4 separate regions of the Mus musculus genome follow, and all the other regions are reported to be linked to region 2. Evidence: microRNA targets listed by miRTarBase, many of them from high-throughput screens and not tested one by one. Region 2 holds a microRNA gene; each other region holds the end of a gene's coding sequence.
What was found. Region 2 holds the annotated microRNA mmu-miR-883b-5p (UACUGAGAAUGGGUAGCAGUCA, at 888-909, opposite strand). A microRNA usually pairs through its seed, bases 2 to 8, with sites in the 3' UTR of a target mRNA and lowers its output. Matches are read on the target gene's strand: a 7mer-m8 pairs with bases 2 to 8, a 7mer-A1 pairs with bases 2 to 7 and ends in A, and an 8mer does both.

Region 1: the mRNA of Mdga2 is a reported target of mmu-miR-883b-5p. Seed matches in the 3' UTR shown: 7mer-m8 at 129-135.
Region 3: miRTarBase lists Ryr2 as a target of mmu-miR-883b-5p. Seed matches in the 3' UTR shown: 7mer-m8 at 2,584-2,590.
Region 4: the mRNA of Ankra2 is a reported target of mmu-miR-883b-5p. Seed matches in the 3' UTR shown: 7mer-m8 at 2,128-2,134.

Annotation. Positions count from the first base shown.
Region 1 is chr12:66,468,665-66,471,848 of GRCm38, forward strand. Mdga2 (MAM domain containing glycosylphosphatidylinositol anchor 2) reads right to left here. Exons shown (of 17, transcript NM_001193266.1): 17 at 1-2,939. The coding sequence ends at 2,851. Among named protein-coding and RNA genes, the nearest start is that of Rpl10l, 190 kb to the left of the region's middle.
Region 2 is chrX:66,789,049-66,792,232 of GRCm38, forward strand. Mir883b (microRNA 883b) reads right to left here and starts at 919; the gene lies at 842-919.
Region 3 is chr13:11,551,862-11,555,045 of GRCm38, forward strand. It overlaps Ryr2 (ryanodine receptor 2, cardiac), which reads right to left. Exons shown (of 105, transcript NM_023868.2): 105 at 1,242-2,750. The coding sequence ends at 2,655. Among named protein-coding and RNA genes, the nearest start is that of Ryr2, 550 kb to the right of the region's middle.
Region 4 is chr13:98,272,498-98,275,670 of GRCm38, reverse strand. It overlaps Ankra2 (ankyrin repeat, family A (RFXANK-like), 2), which reads right to left. Exons shown (of 8, transcript NM_001271388.1): 8 at 1,753-2,899. The coding sequence ends at 2,787. Among named protein-coding and RNA genes, the nearest start is that of Gm21976, 5.7 kb to the left of the region's middle.

The sequences.
Region 1 (3,184 bases), not on the chromosome of region 2:
CCAGTTCTCTTTAACTTCTGGAGTGTGTTCTCTTACTATGTGGAAATTTAGGAACTACTTTAACGTTTGATAAATGCTTAATGATACAATTGAAACTTTCACTCACAACAGCTTCTTTGCTTGGAAAAACTGAGAAGGAAAAAAAACCCTGTGAGTTTTCTTGACATGACATGTGTACCTTCCAAAATTCAACATTTAAGGGGTTTTTCCATTTTAAGTTCATTTACAAAAGCCTCACGCAAATCAGCTTAAAGGCAATTGAAAGAAGATGACAAATAGAGGCTCTCTTTAAACAGGAGACACATATCAGTGTCCTGGCAGAGAGAATGAAAAAAGACCTAATAAAATAAACGTGTGTTTTACTCATCTTGGGGAGCACAGAACTGGGGTGGGTGGCTGTATGCTGGAAATGCAGGTGAATGCAGATCTTTCCCATGCTAAGTGCCCAGTTATCACCTGCTGCAAATCTTTGGTTTGATAGAATAGATGGATGACTTTGAAAAAAATTTTTAATTTCAATATGACTAATTAATTCAAATAAATGACGATAATCATTTACTTCCTTTGTGTGAGTTAAGGGACTTGGGTCATATTGATTCTATCACTATGTTGGTATTCTGATATGTCCCCTTTTGACCCGACTATGAAATTTAACAATAAATTTTAACTTGCATGTCGGTTTGCATTTTACCTACAGAGTACAACATTTTTTTACTTATGTGTTTAACAAATAAAAGAGAATGTGTTGTATGTTCTTTAAAATTTGTTCCTGCAGACATCAAGTGTGTATGAAGCACTGATGATTTATCCCAAGATAATATAACCAATAAATTGCATAACTAATCTCATTGTAATGATAAGTAAATATTGCCCAACAAACACACATACCGCTTATCGCTCCTCACCCGGAAAGAGGCTTTATTGAACAGAGCTGTAAAATTATATTTTAAGTTGAATTATTGAATTTGCACAAACATTTCTACAGTTGTTTTTAAAAAAATCAAGCTTTGTCATTTCCACTACATTTTTGTTGTGCTTTTTATATTAATATTTGCAAATGCTGCAATTTAATACTTAGATCCCAATTACTTGCATAATCAGTAATTTTTTTTTAAATCCTGGGGTGTTGAAAGAACAGATAATAATAATATTCTTCTTTAGACAAAAGTCTTTTTAAATGAAGTTAAAAGCTGAGATAATTTAAGGAAAAAGATCTTCAAATTGTCATAACCAACAGGTTTAAGTGAAATTTACAATGCATTGGAAAACTGGCTGGTTAAAGTTATGGTTTGTCCTCAGGTAGCTCAAAATCATTTTTACAGGTTTTTGTTTTTTTGTAAAAGTGTTTTTTTTAATCTTGTTAAAATAATAAAATAATATTTCACAATTTGCACAGAGTCTGACTAAAGGGCAGAGGCATATTACCCTCAGTGTTTAGAATAAAGCCAGATTGTTTTCAGGCCCAGTTCCGCGGCAGAGTTTGTATGCACGGCAATCTCAAACATTTCCTCGTTCCCTCTAAAGGCAAAGCCAATCTCATTTGAAATGGAGGTTAGAGTAAAAAAAAATCACTTCTGTGTTTTACCACCTTCTGCGCTAAGTATTATCTCAACAACCTTTTGCTCTGGTTGACCCATTTAATAACCTGGAAGAAAAAAGTGTTGCTCCCATGTCTGGTCTCAATGGAAGTTACTTTCTATGGACATTAAGCCAAAAGGCCATGGCTGTCTAGGAGGTGAAACACATAATCTGCATGGGTTTACGCAGCAGCGTGGGTCCTTTCTTCTTCAGAAGCGGCTAGGGTGTCTTGCCTGTAATTTGCACATTTAGGCTGTGTCGTCTGTTTACAAAATAGTTTTACACAAACCATTGTTAGCAGTGCAAGCTTCTGAGTTGAAAATTATTCAGGCTTGTTTCATTGAAGGCACTTGGTTTCCATGGCAATTTATAAAAGATGGTGGTTTGGTTTCTTCATAGGAACAGATGACGTAGTTTGGGTGTCAAGTGGCCGCAAGCAAACTCCGATAAGCCTGTGTAATATGTAAGCCCAGGTTTACCATCCTGGATAGTAGTGCATGCAAAAAGAGACATCATACAGTTATCTAGCTTAGCCATGTGAGGGAGAAAAAAGAAAGAAAAAAGGAAAAAGAAAAGAACTACAACAAACAGTAACAACAACAAGAACAACAAGAACAACAAGAACAAAACCCAAACAACAGTAAAAGTGGGGTGGGATAAGGCGGGGAGGGATATGAAACCTTTAAATAATTCCGAGTTTGGAGTATTTTCAAGGAAGGGTAACAGCCAAAGGTAAAAGGGCCTACATTTATTTAATTCTCTACATAAAACCTTCTTGAAAGGAAAATAAATGCCAGCTCTCCACGTACCCTGTTTACAGTGAGGTTTTTGTTGGCAGGCCATTAGGTTTCCATGGTAACAAGCAAACTATTCATTTGAAACAAAACCAGCCATGACTTTGTGCTTTGACGAGGATTTCTATAGCTCTTTTTCTTCTTCTTTTTCTCTCATTCTTTCTTTTTCTTTTATTTTCTTTTTCCAGAGTTCAACCAGATGAAGCTGTAATCATTTTAGCCACAAAAGCACCTGAAGGGCTCTTTTGTACCCAGGCCAAGAATATCTTCTATATGTAGTTTGGAATAAGTTATATTTCCATGATGTCTTTTTTTTTAATCCCCAGTGCTTAAAAAAATGTTGTTTTTATTATTTAATTTTTGAGTCAGTAGTCAGTGGAGGAATCTTTGGTAGTTTGTTTTTTCAGTGTCCATTTACAAAGACTCTTTCTTCATGCCAGTGCCTGGTGAATCATTTATAGCCTCTGCCAGGATAAGGTCACCTTCGAGGGCTTAAGATAGAGATGAGGATGATAACTGGAAAAAGCCATATATGAACTAAGATCCCAACAGCACCATCCACGGAATCTAGAGATAAAGAAGATAAGTATCCAAAACTGACATTAAGGTCACAAACATCCCAGGTGGGCGTTCATGGCGCTTCTGTGCCTAAAGAACTTTATTCATGGAAAGCAAATTTGTAAAACTACGTTTTACATCAGATAGCAGCTTTAACTTTCAGGCAAGCAGAAGGCGGAAACAGCCTGGATGTGCAGTTATGAATACGGCAGACACATAATACTGTGTACTTACAAATTTAAAGGTCCTGAGCA
Region 2 (3,184 bases):
GTGATTATTTCAGTTGTTAATTGCATGAGGAAGATCTACCCTGAACACAGATGGCACTATTTCGTAGGCTCAGCTCTGGATTAGGGCTGGAAAGAGATAGGTTAGATAGGAGAGAAAGTTAGAAAACTTCCTGTTCATGTATTAGACACAGTTTTGGTACCTAGCATCTATACTAGGTAGTTTGCTACTGCCTACAACTTAAGATTTAAGAGATTCAACATTTCTTCTAGCTTCTGAAGCCACCATCATGCCCGTGATACATATAAATATATGCAGGAACATAAATATTCATAAAATAAAAGTAAATAAAGGAATTTTTCAAAAAGGGATAGAAACTATCTGACTATTAAGCAAGCAAGGATGTATTTATTCTTTGTTCTTGACTGTGGATGTGATATGACAAAGTCCTTGAGTTCTTGCCTTGAATTCTCCAGAAAGGTTAACTAGAACCTAGAATCATGAGCTGAGATAAATCCTTTCCCTGCTAAATTTCTTTTTTGTCAGGATACTTTATCACTATAACATAAATTAAATTAAAAACACATTCTAATCTTATTTCCTGAGACTCAGAGAGTAACTAATTACTGTTCTTCACTACACATTCTTCTCATAGCATTCCCTACTTCCAAGACTTCAAACTCATTATTATGTTATTATTTTCCATATTAATATATCTTAAGATGTTTCATATTCATATAACACTAGAATTAAAATTATGAAAGCAACAACAAATCTATCATGGGGATGTCTGTTTTAAAGTGACTGCAATGTATCTTGAAATCAAGAAACTCATCCACTGTGTGAAGACTATGTCCATGTGGCTACCACCCTTGTATTTGTTGAACCTTACAATACTGAGAGATGTTGCAGTTACTCATAGTACAAAGTGACTGCTACCCATTCTCAGTAATGCATTGCACACAGAATATTGAGTGAGGAAATTAAGTCTGAAAGAATTAAAAGATATTACAATTTTTTGGACTATCAAGTATACATATATAATAAATTTCTTTCTTCACAATTAAGATAAGAGCAATTATAATCTTCTTTACCTCCATTTAGCTTTCTGAAGCAAGTGATTTATAAACCATTCACATGACTTTTTATTACATTACATTGATATAATATAGTTTATACTTTATATTCTCATGATATGAATAACTGAAAACACAAAGACTACCTAGGTCATTAGATACAAAAGGTTTACATATGGAAAAAACGATTTCAACATTACCTACAGAAATGAAATCATCACTATCCCAAAGACAGATCAAGTGAGGAATATAGTCTTCTTGACTTGAAGGAGATAGGTATTTGTTATAGTCACTTAAAATCTTACAAGCACAATGTATTACAATACCTGTAAGTTACAAAGATATTCCGAAGACCCTAAGATTCAACCACTCCATATTTTTTCCTCTAAGCATTTCCTTTAACACTTGTTCCACTGAATTTTTGTCAAAACCAGAGAGATGAGATTGATTTCATTTTGGTTTTTTACATTATATGTGCTTAGCTTATACTCACTGATTAGTGCAACTCACAGTTCTGATGAAAAGTTGTTTTCTCTTTGTCTCTGTCTCTCTCGATAGGGTTTCTCTGTGTAGCATGGGCTATACTGGAACTCACTCTGTAGGCCAGGCTAGCCTCAAACTCAGAAATATGCCTGCCTCTGCCCACCCCCCAACCAGCCCCCAAATGCTGGGATTAAAGGCATGCACTGCCCAGCAAAAGTTTTTTGTTTTTGTTTTTTAAATAAGACAAAAGGCTATTTTATAAAGAATCACAACTTGTCAAAGTGTAAACTACTGTCTTTTGTACATGATAAGGCTGTTTCACCAACACACTTTCAACAGTTAATGGTTGCTCGTACAAGATTTGCAAAAGACTGATTGAGGAAGGGTCCATAATTCCCATATCTAGTTCAGGCTGCTAAGGGAGAGCTAGTATTTTTTTAAGGATAAGTCCCCTGATCAGTTAGGTGCCCATTCCCAAGTGGTAAGTATGGTCTAAATTATGTACGTGTGCATGAAGGTAATCCCTGCCTCGGGTTTCAGGGATCACATGAAGACAGACATTTGGTGTTTTTTACTCGTTAGAACCATACTGAGGTTAGAGGCATGAGAAACTAAATGCCAGGTAGCTTACACTGTACCACTGGCATATTCTACCATTCTTGTCTCTTGAAGTAATAGGCCACATGAAACTTTATGCCTAGCAACTGGCGTCTAGGTGCAGATTCTTGTTCCTGAGATCATAGGCTGTTCCCAGAGGAAACATGAACTCATTGAAGAATCATTCATCAAGTATCTTCACGACTGAATTTCATATAGTCGCTGAGGCAAGATGAGCTAAACTGAGAAAACACTAAATATAATCCAACTGCCCAGTTAAATATAAATCCAAGAATTATATTTTTACCTTCAAGATGCTACAATAAGTTCATGAGGAATATGGTGAGCATTTTTTTCATCTAGAGAAGAAGTACTTACATCTATTTCTCATGAAGGAATCCAACATAGATGGAATGCCATTGATGTGAAACTTCATGTTAAATTGCAGAAACTTCATTATTAAAATCGTTGCCTTCAGATATCCCATCATTATTTGTAAAACAAGATATTTATACCTTGATTTGATTTAATTGTAAGTTCTAGAGAATAATAAACTCATATCCCTACACCATTCATCTTTCTGAAAGCAGGTTTTTTTACCTGTACAATCTTCAGATGAATGCTTGTCAATACCAAGAACAAAAGCTTGATCATGTTTTCCTTTCTGGAATTATAACCATGGTCATGTCTTTTGCCTTGTTTAATTGTCCTTGTGCCAATTTAGTTTTTCTTAGCTTGACTTTATTAACAGGTCAGATCCAAGAGACCAACAAACCAATAGACAACTGGTTTCCTCCCAAAGTTCAAAGTAAAACCCTATTCTAGAAGGCACCTCACATTTCAGAAACAGGATTTGGAAGAATAAAGATGATATTGGCCTAGACTTTTTCTCTGAGGACTGGCTTTCATGATATCAGAAGTTTCAATGCAAGCTGCCAAGGTAAAGGAACAATTGGAAGTCTTACTCAGGTTTAGAGCCTGCTACAGAAGAACAAACTAGTCACATCTGTCAGAAGAAAGTGAAAAATCAACAAAATCTACCCCAGATATTTTATGACCTCACAATCTTT
Region 3 (3,184 bases), not on the chromosome of region 2:
ATAGGGATGAGAAAAATACCTCACAGGATCACATCTCCTGAGTTCGCCTCAGGCAGCCTAGAGAATCAGAGAGGTAGAGTCACACTGTGTTTGAGATTCCCTGAATATTTCCTAGGCAAATAAATAATGCTGATAAGGTTGAATTCCTTTTGTCTCTTTTAGACAGTCTCCCCCATCACAGGCTGACCTTGAACTCACTTGTGTAGCGTAAGGCCAGCCCTGGGCTTCCACCATGGTGTTGAAATTACAGGCATTGCACCCCTATAGTGATTTTACCATCTTCTGTTGGATGGTCTCCCAGTGATGTCCTGCTGTGTTGGTCAATAGTGATTGGACAGGTATGACTTGCACAAATAGCCCACCTGTGTTTTTACTTTTCTTCCAACACTGATGTGTTTGCAACACCCATTGGCTAACAGAACCCTCATTTCACCAATTCCAATGTCTCTTTTCCTGATATTTCTATCACCTCTGAGGAGCTGTCAGTCAGTAAAGTGCACAGATCTTGACAAATCTATGACTTTATTTCCTTTTTTTCTTACCTTTACTATTGTTTTGTGTCTACCACAATGTGGGCATTATAAATAGAAGATCTGAATCTAACTTCCAAATTTGTCTCAAATAAGAATGGTACAGGGATTCATGTTCTTTGATGTGTTAGAGAGCTGACCAGATCTACTGGCTCAGACTCTTTATGACATAAGGTCCCATTTCTGAGAAGGCTTGGTAGCAATATCTACAGTGTGCCAAGATTTATCTCTTCCCTCAAATAAAAGTGACTCCAAAAGAGAAACACAAAAGCCAGGTTCTGGAGCTCTGGTGATGTGATAAGACATAATTGAACAGATGATAACTGATAGCCCTGATGATCTAGCATCATCTCTGTGTTTTATGAACTACTTATTTATGGTCTACTTCTCTTTCCTATTAAGATATTAAGTGGGTTGTAATTATTATGGAAAAGTTCACTTGCCTGAGCAAGGAAGAGTTCTTTAAAGTGAAAGTTGTATGAAAATTTTAAAAGTGGGAAGAGAGTTAGTTGTCATTGAATTACCCCATAAGATAGAAAAGGGTCAAGGTGCCTGGTGAACCCAGCTCTCCTGTTACAAATACTGCTATGTTTGTCTGACTGTGAAGTGTCTGGGTTTGTCCTATACACAATTAAACTGAATTAAAAGCATGGGATTCTATAATTTCCTGGTATATGTGAAATAGGAAGACATAGGAGAAGAACAAGGAAGTTAGTTAAATAGTTTAATTAGAGCCGTTTTACAATTCTAAAATTAACAAGCAGACTTGTAATAAAAGATCTCCAATGTTCGCAGAATGACCTCGCTTCCATTCTGAACCTGTCTTTTTTTAATTGTAAAGATTAGAATTACATTTAAAAGGACTCAAAATGATAAAAAGAAAAGAAAAAAGAAAAACATAAAATGAATCGATGTACATGGTCACCCATGTCTTATGATGCAACCAATGAAATCTCTGAATGGATATTGCTTCAGCTTGGATATCAAAAGATGGCCTGTCAAGGCGTCCTTAACCAATGACTGATCACAGGTGGCCAAAAGAAAGAGGAAAACCCAAGACTACTGTCACATTGGCGATGGTTCCAACTGTCGGTGGATGACACTGACTCCAGAAATATGAGGAAGCCCACAGCTTTGTTACTACGGATGTAATTATCACGAAAGTTCTCCCATGTGGATCAACTTGTTTCTGAGGGCTTTCTTTGTTCATTTAAACTTGCATAATAAACATGCAATGAATTATTTCTTTTGAAAGTTGTATTTTTGCAGTCTCTTTTTTCATACAAAGATTTCATAAGTTGCCATGTAGCATCAGAGTCTTTACCAAAGTGGGGAGGGTAAATGTGACGTAGCTGGATGACAAGAGCCTCCTTCTGTCCTGAGACACACCACCCTTCTTTTGAAAATAGCGCAGATAGCTTTTCTTACCCTCCTCCACCAAAGAAAAGAATAAAAGGGGAGAAAAAAGAAAGAAACCAAAATCACAAAACCATTTTATCTAAGAAAACAAGGTTGATGTAAAGAAAATAAAGGTGTTTGTCATGCACATTATCTTCTGCATAGCTCAACCCACTTATAGTAAGGCACTATTTCCCTTTGCATGGCAACCTGTTAAGTGCTACAGTGCTCTATGACCCTCAGACACTTCCTTCTGGGATGGCAAAATAAAGAGCCTGGGTGAGTGTGACTGCCGTGCTTGGCTGCACAGGTCTGGCAGCTTGTGGAGACTCCATGACCCTTCAGGGGAAGCTGTCCATGGGTGTTATGGTAGAGTATCCATGATGAATTCCTTTCCAGAGTTCCTGGTTAGTCTGAATGCTTATTTGGATTGTTCTTCGGTCTTTGTTTCTCAATGAAGATACATGAGGTGGGGGGAGAACAGTCAGGTCCTCTGAGACTGAGCATCCGTGCATCAGCACAAGATGCTGGTTAGTGGAAAATATGAGTAGGTGTTTCCAAGGTGGGGGGGGAGAGGGAGGGAGGGAGGGAGGGAGGGGGAGAGAGAGAGAGAGAGAGAGAGAGAGAGAGAGAGAGAGAGAGAGAGAGAGGAGAGACTGAGATAGAGAGAGAGAGAGATTGAGAGAGAGATTGCTTTTGGTTTTCAGAGACAATCAAGGTATGATGCTAATTTAACTGGTCTTCATACTGTTTCCGGAAACAGTCCCCTGCTGGGAAAAATTCCCAACACCTCTCTTGGTACATCTTCCAGACGTAAGATTCCTGTAAAAAAGAGAAAATAAGTGTGTTAACCCAGTGTCCAAAATCTATTAGATAACACAGGACAGAGTAGAAGAAGTCATTCAACCCCATTGATATATCATTAAAACAAGAAAAGTCCCATTGCATTCAGATAGCCCCACTTAAATTACCATCACTAATAAATGATCTTCAAATAAACAGAATGTCTTTAGCTTGACCAATATATGATAACAACATATTTTTAAGTCTCTAAGGTTTACATTTATTATGATTTTTAATTTTATCCAAGTTCAAACTATTATCCATTTATAGTGAGTAACCCAGAAGGGGAATTTCAAATTTTCCTAAAAAAACATAGACATTGAATGTTTTTTTCCCAATTATAATTTTGTAAGTGGAAGTTTATTTGAAAGTATAAGCCACACAATAGCCACAATCTTTAAAGAAGAAAAAAG
Region 4 (3,173 bases), not on the chromosome of region 2:
AATACATTTGCTTGGCATAAGTCATCAGTTTGTATAAGGCCTCCTGGTCCTCCTTTCAACAACATCTTGCCATTTGGGACCCTTATTCCTGCTGGTTTGGGTCGTTCATCTAGTTAAATTGCTGTATGAATGTAGACATTCAGGCCGAGGGTCAGTGAGATGGCTCAGCAAGTAAGGTCATTTATTGTCACGCCTGAGGGTCTGACTGAGTTCAATCCCTAGAACCTATACTATGGGAGGAGAGATTCCTGTGTGTCTCTGAGCTCCACACGTTCAAACACGAGCTCGCCCACGCAAACTGAACAAAACCAGACTCGTGATGAAGAATGTTAACAAAGGAGGCATGTTCTTTCAGTGCTCAAAAGGAAGAGGCCATCCAGAGCCACACACAGTGAGATCTCTGGGCCAGTGAGTGGCCTTTGCACTTGAATGAGCAGCTCTGTGGATGTGCTAAGCAGCCTCCGACTCGATGCTGATGCATATACAATAGGCTGACAGCCCTCAGTCTAGGGGAGCTGCTTTTCCGAGTTCAATTGATTACCAAGTAATAAGGTGCCAGATCTAATGACTTCTCATTGGTTACCATGTTGATTTCTATCAGTGGAAGGGTTATGCTATGTTGTGGGAAGTGCGGAGAACCTGTGCTCACAGACAAGCACTATGGGTCAGCTGGAATGGTCAACACACAGGATTGTTCTCTCAAAGGAAGGGCTACATCTCCAGCTATCCACTTAGGAGGCTGGGAAGACACACACATGGTTAATAAAATGACCTGGTGACATTTTGCACTATCCTTCTCCTTTTCCAGACCTGTATGTGAGCTTGTCCATCTATAGAACCTACAGAAGGTGTCGCGTGTAGCCATCTATAGAACGCATCTTTATAGAAGATGTCACATATACTTTACAAAGAGTCTGAAGTCATGGCTTAAGCTTTATTTTGCATGTGGATTGAATTATCACCAAGAAAGTTTTCAACAAATTGTGCTGTGCTTAAATATGCCTAAAATAAACTACTTGGGGTCAGACTCTCGAAGTTTGAACCAACACTGGCTACTTAGTCATGCTGAACTGAACTGAATTGCCTTCTTGCCTCTTGAGTATATTGCTGCTCTGCTGGTCAAAGTGACTGTAGAGAGCCCACCCTACCCTGCAGTGTGTGGTCCTGTCAGACAAAACCCACTTGCATAGAGCAGCATTACCTGTAACATAGCGCTTTAAAATTTTACGTGTATGAGTATTCGTCTGCATGTTTGTATGGGCACCACACGCATGCAGAAGATTGCTGGGTCCTCTAGAACTGGAGTTATAGATCAGTGAGCTGCCATGGAGGTGCTGGGACCCCAACCCCACTCCTGCAAGAGCAGCCGCGCTCAAGCACCAGGGCACCTTTCCTGCTCCCCTTACTTCTCTTTTTCTCGTGTTCCCCAGATCGAGGCTATACGGTTTACCACTGATATAACGGCCATTTTTCAGATGAATTTACCTCAGTCAACCCTCACAGTTCTTCAATTCCTCTCTAGTCCATGGTTCCCTCTTCTGGATTTTAGTAAGAGGCAAGTTAATGACATTCCTCTAGCAGGGTTAAAGAGCAGCTCGCTTCTCTTTTACGACTTTCCTTCTCAAGCCTACTTGTAAGAGAAAAACACTCTAAGTGTACTTCTAGAGATGGGCGTCTTTGTTGATCAATTTGCATAACAGAAACTTAAACTGAAAATCCTGAAGACATCTGTGACAAGCATATAATCAGAGCTAGAATGCAAACAGACAAAGTATTTTATTTAGACATGATTTTGTAAACCATCACACTGTACTTTTTAATTCCACAAGAACATTATTTCCCTCCCACACACTTACAGTAAGCCCTGTGCAAAGTCAAAAGAGTGAATACAAGAGTAAAGACAAACAAGTTGGAGTTTCCTTAAAGTGTCAAATTGTGCTACTTGATACAAAGACTCACAACCACCTGTACCATAAAAGGTTACATGCCACAAAACATTAATTAATAATTTTAATATATAGTAAAACACATTTATTTAAAAAACCATCAGGATTAATTTTATTATAAACAAGTGAATTATCCAGAGGAATATTTATTAAAACTCACTAAAACCCAGCAAATATTGCAACTGAGATAAAAATGTATACCCAAACAAAACTATAAAAATTTACATGTAAACAAAACTATCATTAAGGACCAAGGAGTGAGGGAGGGCAGAGGGCGTTTCCCGAGTCTCCTCACTCCCTGATGTTCTGAAGGAGTTTCAGCAGATGGGACTCGATGGCCTGTTGGACTACGTCAGTAAGTAAGGGTAAGTCAGTAAGCTCACCACACAGAGACACAAGAGCAAGCACACAAAAGTCACTGCGTCAGCTCAACCGAGCCCTGGGATTCTGTACAATGAAGCTATTTCTGTTAGGACTGATTGTCGCCATCTGAGGACAATGTGCGACAGCTACCCTTGACATTAAGGCTGCTTCTAATTCAGCCGCTGCCCGAGCTTCCGAGTTTTCTGAACTGAGCTTTTATTACACAGTGCAATGCTGTTATATAATTTTTTAATGAAAACATTTTTGAAAATCTTGCAAACACTGTCCACTTTTCTTCCAGTAACTATCTGAGTTTATGGAAAAGTACAATAAGTGAACTCCGCCCTTCGCTTTACGGGGTCTGTTTACTTGGCACTTCATTAAAGCCTATGTCTGGAGTTAGAATACTACAGTGTTTTATGCATGAAAGCAATGAAGACGGTTTGGAGCACTGGCATTCCTATATATGATGCTTTCCTAAAATGACCCGAGAGTTCTAAAATACTCACCACCTCTGTAGCCCAAAGCTACAGCTAGGTCCATAGAATTATAGCCAGAGTCTGTTTCAATTGTTGGGTCAGCTCCATTTTCTGTAACAAAACAGCAAAACCTATATAAATAAAATGAAAACGTGTATGTCCGTCTACCCCAGGCTCATATGTGAATGGTTGGACAGAGCTTCAGCCAACATGCTCTTACAAAGCACTGAGTGCATGGGATCCACAGAGTTCACATTCATGGGCTGAAGGAGAGATACCCAAGTATCCCTAGAGTAGCTGATCGTCATTAAACCACCAGACACAACGTACACATGAAGACACTGCGTACAGAGAACACAACAGTGGAGTCAAAGGTGACCCCACA